Linked DNA regions of Cricetulus griseus. The protein of the gene in region 1 purifies or fractionates together with the protein of each later gene. This does not show direct contact. Links are inferred from orthologs where the notes say so. Each region holds a gene or a part of one and is shown in the gene's direction. Other genes may lie near its edges.

Evidence for each region.
Region 2: the proteins of Slc31a1 (region 1) and Usp32 purify together in Homo sapiens (co-immunoprecipitation; 3 studies listed by BioGRID and IntAct, with this or other methods). This does not show direct contact. The link is inferred for Cricetulus griseus from reciprocal best matches to the Homo sapiens genes SLC31A1 and USP32.
Region 3: the proteins of Slc31a1 (region 1) and B3gat3 purify together in Homo sapiens (co-immunoprecipitation; 3 studies listed by BioGRID and IntAct, with this or other methods). This does not show direct contact. The link is inferred for Cricetulus griseus from reciprocal best matches to the Homo sapiens genes SLC31A1 and B3GAT3.
Region 4: the proteins of Slc31a1 (region 1) and Stx7 purify together in Homo sapiens (affinity purification with mass spectrometry; 3 studies listed by BioGRID and IntAct, counting the BioPlex papers as one, with this or other methods). This does not show direct contact. The link is inferred for Cricetulus griseus from reciprocal best matches to the Homo sapiens genes SLC31A1 and STX7.

Annotation. Positions count from the first base shown.
Region 1 is NC_048595.1:83,482,143-83,486,279, reverse strand, and holds the start of Slc31a1 (high affinity copper uptake protein 1), read left to right. Parts: upstream 1-1,336; 5' UTR 1,337-1,395; coding exon 1,396-1,542; intron 1,543-1,960; coding exon 1,961-2,033; intron 2,034-3,705; coding exon 3,706-3,874; intron 3,875-4,137.
Region 2 is NC_048600.1:98,265,031-98,268,596, reverse strand, and holds part of Usp32 (ubiquitin carboxyl-terminal hydrolase 32), read left to right. Parts: intron 1-2,319; coding exon 2,320-2,744; intron 2,745-3,566. UniProt on the Homo sapiens protein: Deubiquitinase that can remove conjugated ubiquitin from target proteins, such as RAB7A and LAMTOR1.
Region 3 is NC_048596.1:51,172,083-51,176,368, reverse strand, and holds the start of B3gat3 (galactosylgalactosylxylosylprotein 3-beta-glucuronosyltransferase 3), read left to right. Parts: upstream 1-1,468; 5' UTR 1,469-1,507; coding exon 1,508-1,589; intron 1,590-2,832; coding exon 2,833-3,007; intron 3,008-4,155; coding exon 4,156-4,286. UniProt on the Homo sapiens protein: Glycosaminoglycans biosynthesis. Involved in forming the linkage tetrasaccharide present in heparan sulfate and chondroitin sulfate.
Region 4 is NC_048595.1:243,388,308-243,391,873, forward strand, and holds part of Stx7 (syntaxin-7), read left to right. Parts: intron 1-974; coding exon 975-1,044; intron 1,045-3,505; coding exon 3,506-3,566. UniProt on the Homo sapiens protein: May be involved in protein trafficking from the plasma membrane to the early endosome (EE) as well as in homotypic fusion of endocytic organelles. Mediates the endocytic trafficking from early endosomes to late endosomes and lysosomes.

The DNA of each region.
Region 1 (4,137 bases):
CCGAGTTTGGCCCCTGATAGGAGCTTGAGTAATCAGAAGCACACTCAGACTCAAGTCCATGTATACCTAATTGCAATTTCTTTTTCCTTTTTTTGAGATAGGGACTTACTATGTGGCCTAGGCTTACCTCAGACTCTGAATATTTCTCACCACCATGCCCTGCTCCTACTTTTAATTTCTTCTACATACTGGAATTGAGGGACAGAAAGAGATTTCAGGAGCTAGCAGGTGACTCAGAGTCTAAGCAAACTTGCTGTGTTCAAATAAGGCCCAGGCTCCACTCCCAGCACCCACAGAGTTACACACCCCTCTGTAACTCCAGTTCCAGGGGATCCAACACACTCTTCTGGCCTCCTCAGACAGTGCACACAAGTGTACATATTCATACATGCAGGCAAAACACTCATACAAATAAAAATACTCCTTAGAGAAAAGACAGGTTTTTCCAGGAAGAGGTGGTGAACGCCTTTAATCCCAGCACTCAGGAGGCAGATCTCAGGGCCAGCCTGGTCTACATAGTGAGTTCCCAGACAGCCAGGCTACACAGACAGGCTAAACCTTGTCTCAAAACAAAGAAAGAAAAAAAAAAAAAAACAGCTTTTATGAACATCTCCCCCTGCACATTATATCCCAGCTTCCCAGTCCCTTGCCCACACAGCAGCTATGGGAGTTACTGCTCCTTGACTCATGTTGACTTCTGCAGTAAAGCATTAACATGGTGCAAAGATACAAGGCTGAATATGCGTCGTCTGAGCTTAATTTAATATAAGACTATTCAATTTATACCTTGTCTTTCATGTTCTTAACTCTGATATCCTAGTGGGACTGAAATTGTGTCTGAAGGCTGGGCACACTCCTTGCCTGAGGCTGCAGCAGACCTTTCTTCAGATTTAAAAGAGCTCAAAGCTGATTGTCCTCTAAGTGGAATCTGAACATCCTGGTTAAGCACAGGCCATCCCAATTAGAATTATCTGAAGTCCTGGCTTTTTATCTACTGATGATTATGATTGGAGAGCCTAAGAGCAATTACATTTTGTTAATGTCAATAGATAATTATTTCAAAAGATCTATTTCCTGCAATCTGAAGAGGCTTCTTTCCTCCATTTATCTGCATTTATTTTAAACCTGTTTCTTAGAGGAGTAGTTCTGCGGAGTAAGGAATGGGTGTCTCAAGCCTTCAGTACAAGCCCTTTGTCCTTTGTCTCAAAGGTGATCCTTAGTAGTCCAAGTTACTTCTGTATCTAAGAAAGCATTTGTTCACTGAGGAAAGTTCTGTGTAGACAAAGTATTTATCAAGAAAATATTTTTATGTCCTTAATAATATATAATTGTTTTTCTTGAAAGACTTTTTGCTGACTCTCATCTTTTTCTGGAAAACTGGATACTTCCAACCATATGGGGATGAACCATATGGGCATGAACCATATGGGGATGAACCACATGGACCACATGGACCACATGGACCACATGGACAACAACAGTACCATGCCACCTCACCATCACCCAACCACTGCCTCACACTCCCATGGTGGAGGAGACATGGTATGTGTCCCAGAGGATGGCACAGGCCCTTGCCCACACACTTGGATAATAGAAACATGGAGTTTTAGCACTGGAAGGTCAAAGAGAGAAACCAAAGCAGATTGTCCCTCCCCACAAGTCAGGTGATCTTCCTGTATTCATGTGGCAACATACAGAATGACACCAGAAACAAGGCTCTCTAGAATTCTTTCCTTAATCCTTTCTTTTGAAATTCACCCTTTCCTGAATTAAGTCCTGTTTCATGTAGAAAAGACAAAAGGACATAAGGTGGGGGTGGGGGAGACTCTTAGTGCCCAAGGTAGTAAAGCCTCCCACTACAAGTATTTCTTGTCTAGATGTGTTATGTCAGCCTCTTTGCCCAAGATTCCCACTAGGGTCTTCAGTCTTCTCTAACTGACTTGTTTTGGTTTTCTGGCAGCCTATGACCTTCTACTTTGGCTTTAAGCGTGTGGAACTATTGTTTTATGGTTTGGTAATCAACACACCTGGAGGTGAGTAACCACCAGATAATCTTTGAAGATGACAACCATGTGAGAGATCATAGTGACAGATTTGGAAATCCAGAGTCTTTTTCTGTCTATTGCCAGATCAATTTGGTTGTGCAACATAATCATCACAATTCCTATTCCCCAATCAGAAGATGAAATACATCATTTTTTTGATCCTCCAGTGAGCTTCCTTTAATTAATATGTATGTTTTGAAGCACTGAAAAATAATTAAAATGCCATATTAAGATATTTTGCAATCCTTTTCTTGTTTGAAGTTGTTACTGGTCCTAGGCCTAAGACTACATAGCATATTCAAATACCACAGCGTAACCCTACATTAAAAACTGTTGATCGTCAGTATTTATCCCTGGCCCACTAATGAACTTTGGGAGCCCATTCCACATGGAGGGATGCTCTCTCAGTCTGGACATGGGGTAGGGCCTAGGCTCTGCCTGGGATGATATGACAGACTTTGGAGATCCCCCATGGAGGGCCTCACCCTCCCTGGGGAGCAGAGGGCAGATTGGATGGGGATGGGGGGGTAAGAGCAGAGGGAGATGGAGCTGGGATTGGTGTGTGAAGCAAGATTGTTACTAATTTAAATTAAAAAATTAAAAAAAAAACTGTTGGTCTTGGCATGTATGGTAGTGAATACCTTTAATCTCAGCACTTGAGAGGCAGAGGCAGGAGGATCTTTGTGAGTTCAAGGCCTGGTCTACATAGAGAGTTTGAGGATAGCCAGACTACATAGACATTGCCTCAAAAAAAAAAAAGTATTGATCAAATAACTGCCTGTTTACAGATAAATAAGCCTCATATAGTGAAATGGTTGCCCTAAATCACACAGTTAGTATGACAGGGCTAAAGCAAGTACCATACTTTCTAGAACTCTCTAAGCCAGTGCTTTCTCTTCTACATCAAAGTATGGTTTCCATGTTCCTGGTACTTGACATATCATAGAGTCACTCTTAGTTTTAAGGTAGCTGTCACCTATCTTTTTGTATCTGTCATTTATTGGTGTGCTTTGCATTTAAATTGTAATTGCATGAGTTTAATTGTCACTTAAACTGCTTTAGGTATCAAGTTTATTTCTGAAATAAACAAATTTGATTTTGGAAAAGGAGGGGGAAGCATTTTGTTCAAATAGTATGTTACATTTAAATTAAATTAATCACATAAATTCATCTTGTCAATTCTTCACTATATATACATAATCTCTTAAAATGCCTATCAAAATATATAGGCAGCACTTTTAAAAACAGGTTGTTTTAGCTGGATATGGTGGTGCACACCTGTAATCCCAGTGCTCAGGCAGTTGAGGCAGGAGAATCTCCAGGAGGTCAAGATCAACCTGGGCTACACAACAAAACCCTGTTAAACAACAAACCAACAGTTGGCTATTCCTTTTTTTTTTTTTTCAGATAAGTCTCTATTGAGTGGGTAAAGAGATAACCATCCAATTATTCACAAACTGAGACTGATATTTTTTCCGTTTTGTTTTGAGATAGTTACTTGCCATGTAGCTCAGGCTGACTGTGCACTCATAATCCTCTGCCTCAGCCTCCTGAGTGAGCACTGGGATCACAGGCGGTGCCACTGTGGCTGGCAGCACACTAGCCGATGATTTTAACTGTGTCATTACCTCCTTCTTTCTTTCCTTCCTTCCTTCCTTAGAGATGGCTGGAGCTTTTGTAGCAGTGTTTTTACTAGCAATGTTTTATGAAGGACTCAAGATAGCCCGAGAAGGTCTGCTGCGTAAGTCTCAAGTTAGCATTCGCTACAATTCCATGCCTGTCCCAGGACCAAATGGAACTATCCTTATGGAGACACACAAAACTGTTGGGTAAGATGAAACAGATCCAAAGGAAAGTTCTATTACGCTGTCTTTAATAATGTAACAAAGCAGGTATTTTTTTCTGCCTGAGTTAGTGATTCTATGTAACTTTAGAAGTTACCAATGGTGGGTTATGGGACTTGGGGTCTGTAAAGGCACATACATGTTATAAGTTACAAGTGTTTGCCACTTTGAAAGAAGTTGAAAGGAATCCAGTTTTTTAAATATTTTCTAAATACTAATGGACATTTTAAGTATGTATAGTCAAGATA
Region 2 (3,566 bases), on another chromosome or scaffold:
GTATAGTTAGTTAGTGGTTGCCTCTATCCACAGTCATGAAGCAGAGAGACATCAATGCTGGTGTTTAGCCAGTTCCTTTTTCCATTTTTGTTTTAAGTTCAGGACCCCAGACAGCAAGATGTTAAAGTCCACATTCATGGTGGGTCTTGGCTTCCTAATTAGACCTTCCTGGAAATACTCTCAGGCACACTCAGAGGTGTGTCTCCTAGGTGATTCTAAACTCAACCAAATCCAAGCTGACAAGATGACCATCACAGATACCAAAAACCATGGGTGTTCAAGTCCTGTGCATAAAATGGTGTGATATCTGCATATAACCTATTAATATCTTCTCTGTACATTTTAAATAATCTCTGTATCTTTTATAATACCCTGTACAAGACAGGTGTGAGATAACACATACACCTGTAATCACATTTCTTAGAAAACTAAAGCAGGGAAATTCTAAGGTATTTTGTTGTTGTTGTTGTTGTTGTTTGTTTTTTGTTTGTTTGTTTGTTTGTTTGTTTTGTACATTGGTATAATGATATCAGATTCCCTGGAACTGGAGTTACATACAGTTGTGAGCTGCCAAGTGGGCACTGGGAATTGAACCTGGGTCCTCCAGAAGAGCCAGCAGAATTGCTCAATGGATAAAGATACCTAAATTCAGGCCCTAGACTCACATGATAGGAGAGAGCTGACCTCTCACAAGTTGTCCTCTGACTACACATAAACACCATGTTATGTATGCCCACACAGATCAGATGCACACAAATAAATGTGTGTATATGTGTGTGTGTGTGTATATGTATATGTATATTATATGTATATATATATGAATAATAGACATTACACTGTTATGTAAATAGCTATACTATAATATTTATGAAATCATGCGAAAGAAATCTGTATTGTTTCAGTAAAAATGCAATTTTTTATTAATTCTGATCTGTAATTATTTGGATCTTGTGGGGTCCACAGGTGAAGAATGTTGATATATATGATTCTTTTTACCATTTTCCCATAACTACAGCTTCAGTCCATGTGTGAGTTTTACTTTCATTCTCTGAAAAATGTACCATAGAGTCATGGAAAATTTCATGTAGCTAGACTAACCTTTTTCCAGTGAAATAGATGGTTGAGTATTGTATAGTTTTAATTCCTCAGAGTTTTTATGGTTTTTTCCTTCATTTTGCTATGTATTGAATCGAGGATTTCACACATGTTAGACAGTGCTTTCCCACTTTAATGCATCTCCAGCCTCTTTTTTTGTTTTGATGTAGCATCTCACTAAGTTTCCCATCCTGAACTTGAGCTTACTGTTGCCCAAACTAGCCTTAAACTTTCAATCCTCCTTGTGTCTCTTTGTTTGTTTGTTTGTTTGTTTGAGGCAGGATCTCTGTAGCTTTGGAGGCTGTCCTGGAACTAGCTCTTGTAGACCAGGCTGGTCTCGAACTGACAGAGATCCGCCTGCCTCTGCTTCCCAAGTGCTGAGATTAAGTGTGCACCACCACCACCCATCTTGTTTTTAGCTTTTGAAATGGGATCTTGCTATGGTGGTACAAGCTGGCCTGCAACTCACTGTGTAGCCCAGGTTAGCCTTAAACTTAGAATCCTTCTGCTTTAGTTTCCTGAGTAACAAGACCATACCCAGCCCAAGAATGTATTTATAAAATTCATTGTTATGAGCTGAATATGATATAAATCACCTTTCTGTGATTTTGTAATTCCTACAATGTACTCTACATTTTCACTTTTGCCTATTTTATTAGTTGTGTATTAGGGTTCTCTAGAGGAACAGAACTGAGAGACTATATATCCCATATGTGCTGCTGAAGGAAGCACGATGGCACATGGCTTTAATTCTAGTACTCTAGAGTAGAGGCAGGCCGATCTCTTGAGTTTGAAGCCGTCCTGGTCTACAAATGGAATTCCAGGAGAGCCAATGCTGTTACACAGAGAAACCTTGTCTTGAAAAACCGTGATGGATGGATGGATGGATGGATGGATGGATGGATGGATGGATGGATGGATGGATGGATAAATGCCCTGAAAATCTGGATTAAAGATTTTTCTTCCCACTTCTCAATTAGAAATGGGTCTTCCCACTTCAAATAATTAAGAAAAAAATCCCTCACAGGTGTACCCAGACACTTGGCTAATTCCTGATGTAATCAAGTTAACAGCCAAGAATAGCCATCACAAGCTGTGTAAATAAGGAGTGACAATAGGCAGTCAGCATTCCTATCTTTATGTGTACAGTTGGGAGTTACTATTTGGTATCTAACCTAACTTGTGACATTTGGACTTAAAAATCTTTTCCTGTCTCTTACACAGGTTCACCTTCTTCATCAAGAAAAAGTGGAGCCAGCTGTCCCTCCAGCAAAAACAGCAGCCCTAACAGCAGCCCACGGACTTTGGGCAGGAGCAAAGGAAGGCTTCGGCTGCCTCAAATTGGCAGCAAAAATAAATTGTCCAGTAGTAAGGAGAATTTAGATGCCAGCAAAGAGAATGGGGCTGGGCAGACATGTGAACTGGCTGACACCTTGAGCCGAGGACATATGTTGGGAGGCAGCCAGCCTGAGCTGGTCACTCCTCTGGATCATGAGAGCACTTTGGCTAATGGATTCCTTTATGAGCATGAAGCTTGTGGCAATGGCTATAGTAATGGTCAGCTTGGAAACCATAGTGAAGAAGACATCACTGATGACCAAAGAGAAGATACTCATAGTAAACCTATTTATAATCTATATGCAATTTCGGTAAGTCACATATTATGTAGATTTCAAAAAATATTCTTGGGGGGCTCAGCTGTTAAGAGCACTAGCTGCTCTTCGAGAGGTCCTGAGTTTAATTCCCAGCAACCACATGGTGGCTCACAACCATTCATAATGAGTTCTAGTGCCCTCTTCTGGCATGCAGTCATACATGCAGGCAGGATACTGTATATATAATAAATAAATAAATCTTTAAAAACAAAAAGTCAGCTGGGCGTTGGTGGCGCACGCCTTTAATCACAGCACTCCGGAGGCAGAAGGAGGAAGATCTCTGTGAGTTTGAGACCAGCCTGGTCTACAAGAGCTAGTTCCAGGACAGTCTCCAAAGCCACAGAGAAACCCTGCCTCGAAGAAAAAAAAAAAAAGTCTAAGCTGAGCATAGTGGCTCATGCTTTTAATCCAGCACTTGGGAGGCAGAGGCAGGTGGATTTCTGAGTTTGAGGCCATCATGGTCTACAGAGTTAGTTCCCAGACACAGCTGGGCCTACCAGAGAAACCCTGTCTCAGAAGTTTGCTTGCTTCTCTTCATTCATTCATCAACTGGCATTTTTTCAGAATTTGCTTACTTGCTGAGCATTAAGTTTGGTGATAGACAAAGTTAAAAAAGAAAGCTTAGCCTCTTGGATAGACTCCAAGCTCACAGTATGATTTAGACAATGGCCATGTAATTAGTATAATTTGATTCAGAGAATTAACTTTGTGCTCTCCCCTGTTTAAATTTTTTTTTCCTAAGGAAATTTTGCTTTCTAAATAATTGTTACAGGGCCAGACTTGGTGGCACATGCCTCTAATCTTAGTACTTGAGAC
Region 3 (4,286 bases), on another chromosome or scaffold:
AGGTGTGCACTACCATCTGGCCTCAGTTGTCTTGTTTTAAAGTGGGCTTAGTAAGTGGTGATCAGAGCTAATGGGGTCTCTTGGATGGAAATCAATACAGGATCAAATGTCCTGAAACTCACTCTGTGGATTAGATTAGGCTGGCCTCAAACTTGAGATCTTCCTGCCTCTGCCTTCCAAGGGCCGGAATTAAAGGCGTGTGCCACCACCACCTGGCTGTCAATAGCACTTTTAAAATTTACTGTTTATTTGGTTTTTCAAGACATGGTTTCTCTGTGTAGTATTTTGGCTGGCCTGGAATTCATAGAGATCTGCTTGTCTCTGCCTTCCGGAGTTCTGGAACTAAAGTCATGCGCCACCAACGCCTGGCCCTAACTAGTTTTATAACTCAGATTAACCCATATTTTAAACCTGCATTCTTTTATGTGGCTTTGTTACTTTTATTCTGTATTCCCCATCCTGCTTTCTTTGACTAGCTGGTGACTCTGTCTTCCTTCCAGAGCAGTAGTGATTATAGCTAAATGAAAGACTTTTGAATATTTTCATCATAATGATGTAGCATTGAGGAAGTGTTTACTGATATGAACATTAATTTTCCTTTTGTGTTTTCTTTACGTATTGAAACAATATAACAAGTCAGTATGTGTATGAGACAGGGTTCCAGGTAGCCTAGGCTGACCCTCTGAATTCTCCACCTTAATATGTAATGGAAGAGCTTGCATCCACTTGCCATGTTGTGCTGGGACTGACATGCACCACTCCCCTAGGTTTATGTTGGTGATATAAACCAGTGGGTACTAGATAAGCACTCTACAGACTGAGCGACTTCCCCCACTAAGTATGTAAATTAAATGTTAGTAAGTAACTGACAGTTTATAAACTTGGTATCCTTTTACCTCAGAAAACATTTTACATTACCATTCATAATAGTACCAAAATTATAGTTATGAAGTAGCAAGGAGAATAGCTTTATTAACCCTTTATTAAAGGGTTGCAACATTAGGAAGATTGAGAACCAATGGAATAGACCCAGCTAAACTGTCCAGTACCTGGCAGGCCATAGATTTCATTCATTGGTTGAACAAGTATTGAAAGACAGTTTCTTTGAAAAGCCAATGCTGGTGCCAGATGCTGACGGATGAATGGGTGTCTAGAAGACCCAGGGGAAGGGGCGGGACTTGTTCTCAATTCCGAGTTCCACATCCAGCTAGATCCCACGTGCTCCTACCAAGGTTCTGACTGCCACTGTGAACGCTTGACGCAGCGGACGTGGCGTCATCTCCCTGGTTGGCCCACCAGGAGGAGGGACCGGAAGTTATCTTGGGGAGGGGGGGGTGCTACTGGCCGGAAGTGGTCCCGGGTGGTGCTCGGGGGTTCTCTGGAACTACAGGGGAGTGCTGGGAAGGCGGGGCTCAGGGCGGGGCGGGGCCCGCGGGAGGGCCGAGGGACGGGCGGACCCTGTCCCTGCCGGTCCCCGGCGGACCCCGCCTGCCCCGGCGGCGCGGCCATGAAGCTGAAGCTGAAGAACGTGTTTCTTGCCTACTTCCTGGTGTCGATCGCCGGCCTCCTCTACGCTCTGGTGCAGCTTGGTGAGCGGGGAGGGGCGGGGCGGGATGCGGGGGGCCGGCCCTAGGCGCAGGGACGGCCGGCCTAGCCGACGCCTGCCTCCCGCTCGGCCCTCTGGACACTCTCCGTGGTCTGCGTCTCCGCGGATGCCAGCCGGGCAGCGAAAGGCGCCGCCGCCGCTGTCGGGCACCCCTCCTCTCTCTGCCGCTCAGACCCGCTTGCTGACAGATTTTTGAAAATCCTATCTTCGTTCTCCCCTCAAGCTCTTGACCTGCAGAGCTTACCCCCCAAAAAACTATCTATTTCTCATCCTTCAGGTTTTAGGCCAGATGTCACCGTAGAGAGGACTTCTAACCATCTTAGCTCAAGTAACCCTTCTTAGTCCCGATCCCTTTTTCCCTCGAGACTGTCCTGGCACTCACCCTGTAGACTAGGCTGGCCGAACTCACACAGATCCGACTGCCTCAGTGAGTTCGTGAGCGGTTCAGACTTTTCTATTCCTTCTTAGTCTAGAAGGTAAAATCATGATCAAGGGTAGAAAGACTGACAGATTATCAGCCCAATATACAAGTTAAAATAATAGCAGGGCTGGATAATTCAGCACCAGCAAGTTTGAGGCGCTGGGTTGGAGGCTCAGCAAAGAAAACAAAAGTGACAGATGGAATTAACAATGCAGAGCTGAACCAGGCAGTGGTGGCCTATGCGTTTAACTCCAGCAGTGAGTTCCAGGATAGCCAAGGCTACACAGACAAACCTTGTCTCAAACAACAATAACAAAAAAAAAAAAAAAGAGTTGAGTATGGTGACCCACCATTTGGAAAACAGGCTAATGAGTTAATGTGTGAGGTCAACTTGGGCTATATAGCAAGACCTTATCTTTTGTTGTTTCTTTTCAAGACAGGGTTTCTCTGTGAAACAGTTCTGGTTGTCCTGGAACTCACTCTGTAGACCAGGCTGGCCTTGAACTCACAGAGAAGTGCTGGGATTAAAGGATTTGCCACCACAGCCTTTGCTGCCACCAGCAGCAAGACCCTATCTTAAAACAACAATAAAAGAAAGATAAAGATAAAAGTGCTTGCTAGTGAATTCCCTGCTACAAAAAAAAAAAAAAAAAAAAAAAAAAAAAAGGTTAAAAGAAAAGGTTAAAAGGGAAGTCCTGAATTCACTAGGAGTTAGAAAGATTTTGGCTCTGGGTTGTTGAACTACTTACTATCTTGTGGTTGTCTGCCCCAATTCCCATTCTCTGTTGATGCTTCCTGGGACCAGGCCAGCCATGTGACTGCCTCCCTCCGCTTCGAGCTGCAGCTGAGCAGCTTCGACAGAAGGACCTGAGGATTTCCCAGTTGCAAGCTGATCTCCGTCGACCACCCCCTGTCCCAGCCCAGCCCCCTGAGCCCGAGGCTCTGCCCACTATCTATGTCATTACCCCCACCTATGCCAGGTATGGCTCTGGTACACTCGAGGTCTGCATCTACCAAGATGTGTTAATTATGAATTTGGGGAGGCATTGAACTAGGGGGTGATCTTTAAACTAGAGCTTGCAAAATGTTATGATGAATGGTCTACCTTTACTCAGATTGGCGGGAAAATTACCTTTCTAGAAAAATGGACAAAGGGATAATAGGAAGTGGATTACCTTACTGAATTTTTGGTAAACTTTTTTTTTTTTTTTTTTTTTTTTTTTTTTTTTATCTTCCCTGAGGCAGGGTTTCTGATGCAGCCCTAGCTGTCCTGGAATTAGCTCTGTAGACCTGGCTGACCTTTAACTCAGAGACTAGCTGGAGTGCTGGGTTTAAGGTGTGAGCCACTGCTACCCCTCTACCAGATCTGAGTTACTGCTAAACTTTAAAAGAGGACAATAAAGTTGGAAAGGAAATTTGAGCTGACAATGAATTAACTCCTCTTTGGAATTTCTTGGTTAGAAAGTTCTAACACTTTGATTAGCTCCAGGTGTGGTAGTTGACATCCTAGCATTCACTAGGCCCTGACAGTGATCCCCAGCAGGGTGTTGTAGAAAGGGGCAGGTAATTTACCAGCTTTTAGAAATGTTTTGCCTGGCGGTGGTGTGTCACACGCCTTTAATCTCAGCACTTGGGAAGCAGAGGTAGGTGGATCTCTTGAGTTTGAGGCCAGCCTGGTCTACAGAGTGAGTTCCAGGACAGCTAGACAGCTAGGGCTACTCAGAGAAACCAGCCTAACAACATGAATCCCTGTATTGAAAATCAGGACAAACTATAAAATTATTCAAACCCAGATCTATTTGATTCCAAATCATGTGTCCTATATTCTTACCCTAGCCTGAGTCCTCAGGTTGAAGAGAGTGGTGACCTGGTCTGGAAAGGCAGGGAAGGTCAGCATCTGCACGAAATTGACATTCAAGAGGGAGGCAACTTGGCAGTCTCATGATTCTTTTTTGAATACCTGAAGCCCTGAGTTCTGTCCTAAATAACATATGCACACATCCAAAGCTTGGGCACTGGTGAAGGAAAATCCAGGGAGATGCTAACAGTGGCCAGGAGCAGCTATTATCCTAAGTGCTGTGGGCCAAGGTTGCCTGGTCCCTTCCTTCCTGCATCTCTCCCCCTGCAGGCTGGTACAGAAGGCAGAGCTGGTTCGGCTGTCCCAGACCCTGAGCCTGGTGCCCCGTCTACACTGGCTGCTGGTGGAGGACGCTGAGAGCCCTACCCCGCTGGTCTCGGGGCTGCTGGCTGCCTCTGGTC
Region 4 (3,566 bases), about 160 Mb from region 1:
CACCTTTTTCTAGTGTTTGAAGATTTAGTTGATTTTCAAGCATACACCTCCTACTCGAGTCAAAGGATACTGCAGAATTGCTGTTCATATCCAGAACAGAGGTTAGCCAGGAATTACTGAATGAGTGAATTAATTACAATTGAGCACTTAGCAATTTTAAACTCACCCCCTACTGTTGTGTTTTAGAAATGCATGCTATTTCTTATATAATTGATCTATCCAGTACATTTTTTATAGTTATGTTATAAAAATATCCACTGAGTATCAGTACTATGATCAGTCCTGTAATGACTGATTTAGAAACAGATAAAATACAGTTCTAGTTCTTGCCTATAAGGAGTTTACTTTCTACTTGTGGTGTATAGTGGTAATCTGGCCATTTTATTCTGCATCTAAGTACAGAATTAGATAGCTGAGTCTCCAAACTAGACAATGCCCTTCTATTCCCTATCCCCCACCAATAGAGGTGTTACCCCATTGGCGCTCTGGGGAGTGTCCTCCAGAAGAACACAGATATGTTAGGTTCTTGTTTGAATCTTTTTTTTTTTTCAGCATCTGTTTCTCTGAATCCTCACTGGGTCTTCATGATACTTTTCTTCCTTTTCTGGGCTTGATGCTCTGTCCCATGTCTTCCCCTCTGTCTGCATCCATGCATCCTCTAAGACAACAGCATAGTTCTACTCTCAGTGCAGTCCCTGGAGCACAGGAAAGAGATTGCTGCCGTTTTGGACATGAGCAAGTTTCACATGTCAATGTTCCCACTCAATTTTTCTTGGAAAATCAGTCTGTTGCTGTTCCTGATCAGCCAGAAACAAACCATTTACTTTTTCATTTTTTCAATTATTATTATTATCTATCATTATTCCTTTGTTTTTCTTTCTTTTCATCATTTAATTACCTAATTGCTTCTAATGTAATATTTTCTGTGGCTGTAACTTTTGTAACAATTATTCATTAATTTTCTATTACGATAGCTGTGGAAATCCAAAGGACTCTGAATCAACTTGGAACACCTCAGGATTCACCAGAACTGAGGCAACAGCTGTGAGTTTTGCTTTTTTGGTTTTTTTTCTTGTTGTTTGTTTGTTTGTTTGTTTGTGGTTTTTGGAATCAGGGTTTCTCTGTGTAACTGCCCTGGTTGTTCTAGAACTCGCTCTGTAGACCAGGATGGCTTCAAACTCACAGAGATCTGCCTGGCTCTGACTTCTAAGTGCTGGGATGCTGGGATTAAAGACCTGTGCACCAGCCACCCAGCTTTTTTTTTTTTAAGTATTTTTTTTAAGATTTATTTCTTTATTGTGTATATACTATTCTGTCTGTATGTATGCTTGCAGGCCAGAAGAAGGCCCCAGATCTCATTACAGATGGTTGTGAGCCACTATGTGGTTGCTGGGAATTGAACTCAGGACCTCTGGAAGAGCAGCCAGTGCTCTTAACCTCTGAGCCAACAGCCCTCAACTTTTTTTTTTTCAGACAGAAACAAGAGAAAACCATTTTATTTACTTATTTTTATTTTTGGTTTCTCGAGACAGGGTTTCTCTGTGTAGTTTGGAGCCTATCTTAGCACTGGCTCTGGAGACCACGCTGGCCTCGAACTCACGGAGATCTGCCTGCCTCTGCCTCCCGAGTACTGGGATTAAAGGCATGCGCCACCAACGCCCAGCAGAGAAAACCATTTCTATGATGCTTTTATAGTAGGATTTTATTGGAGAAAAGGCAAGAGGATTGCTGAGAATGTAAAGCCATCCTGAGCTACAGAGTAAGTTCCAGATCATCTTGGGCTACACAGTGAAACTCTGTCAAAACTTCCAAATACACACACATACACATGCACACCACACACACACACACACACACACACACACACACACACACTACATATGTATCAGTAAATATGCCAGTAGAGGAACAGTAATAGTACTTTGTGTGTTTTATAGATTTCATAGTGTTTGTCATCTTTTCTCACCTGAACTTTGTAAAATTTGAGTGATGCTCACACACAGAACCATTTCTAATTGCTCATAAGGGAAATTTCTCTTTTAGGGCCTTGATGATCTGCCCAATACTATTCAGAACCTTTTGAGTTCTCAGCACTTTAACTAGCTACAGATTACAAGTGATACACCCCCCCCCACACACACATATATATACACACACACAGAGACACAGACACACATATGCACACAGACTCACAAACACACACATGCACAAACACACATACACATATATATGTACACACAAACATACATGCACACACATAGCATTATCTCCATATAACAATTAGCTAGAATACAAGTACAAAGAAGATATGGAAAGATACAGAATATAAACTCATGTTTTTAAGAAGTTTGAAGTATTTGTAGTTGTCTGTAGTTCATATTTTTTCTCTACAATAAGTGTTGGGGTGAATCATAGCTAATACACAAACATTCATTGAAATTCAATTCAATGGAAGTTCATACTAAATAGACACATTAGTTTTGGGGCACGAACAGTGGAAATTTTGAATCCATAGACATGATCATGCATTTTGAGAACTTTGACTATCCTGTTCCAGAAACTTAGAGAAGCACGTCCAAGCAAGGGCATTTGGTGTCTAGAACTGTGAGCTGGTTATTTTTCTTCTTCACTAGCTCTATACAGGCATCTGCATCTGAGCATCTTTTTATTGTGAGCCTCACTGGCAGTTCATGTGTAACATAAGGGATGTACAAGGGAGGCCTTGGTGTCTTTTCTAAGCATCCCTTTAATGCAAGATTATATTGTTGAGTATCAAGGTTTTTCATTAAAATTCATACTCTTTTTATAAGATATCTAGGAAAATACAGGTATAGGTATAATTTAGTTCCCCCATTTTTTTTGTATTCAGGTCTATTTATAAGGAAGCTCTGTTAGATTTTCCACAGCAAGTTTAATAACTAGTAAATTTGTACTGTCACTACTTCTCCTCCATCTTTGTGTTTGTGGAACATAAGTATTCACATAAAGAAATAAGACATACAAGATGTACCTCACACCTGGGCACTGGACAAAAACAAATAGTCTTTCTTTCTCAGATGACGTCCTAGGGGAGACACAGATAAGAGCTATAGACATTTTCAGTCTCTCAAATATAAAGGACCAGACCGCCATCACTGTCCTGACTACATGCCCTTCTCACTGAAGTCATTTTCATCTGTAGCTATTGATCTATACTTATAGGTAATCACAATTCATGTTTCTCCAAGAGTGGTTATTTTAGGTAATGAAGACCCTTCTATGTCATAGTTCTTAGTATTTATCAGAAAAACAGAACCTAAAGATTTGGTTTGGCAGAAGAAATTGACCACATGTTCAGAAAACTGAGTACTTTCACTGTTTATAGTTTGTTACTATAAATACCCAGACAAAAAGACTAGTTCTTCTACAACCATTTACTAAGGTTGACACAAGTGGTGGAGTTTTTCTTTGACAATAATGTATTTGTGCCTTCTGTTTCTCTTTTTGTTTTTTCTTTTCACTTTAGGCAGCAGAAGCAGCAATATACTAACCAACTTGCGAAAGAAACAGATAAGTACATTAAAGAG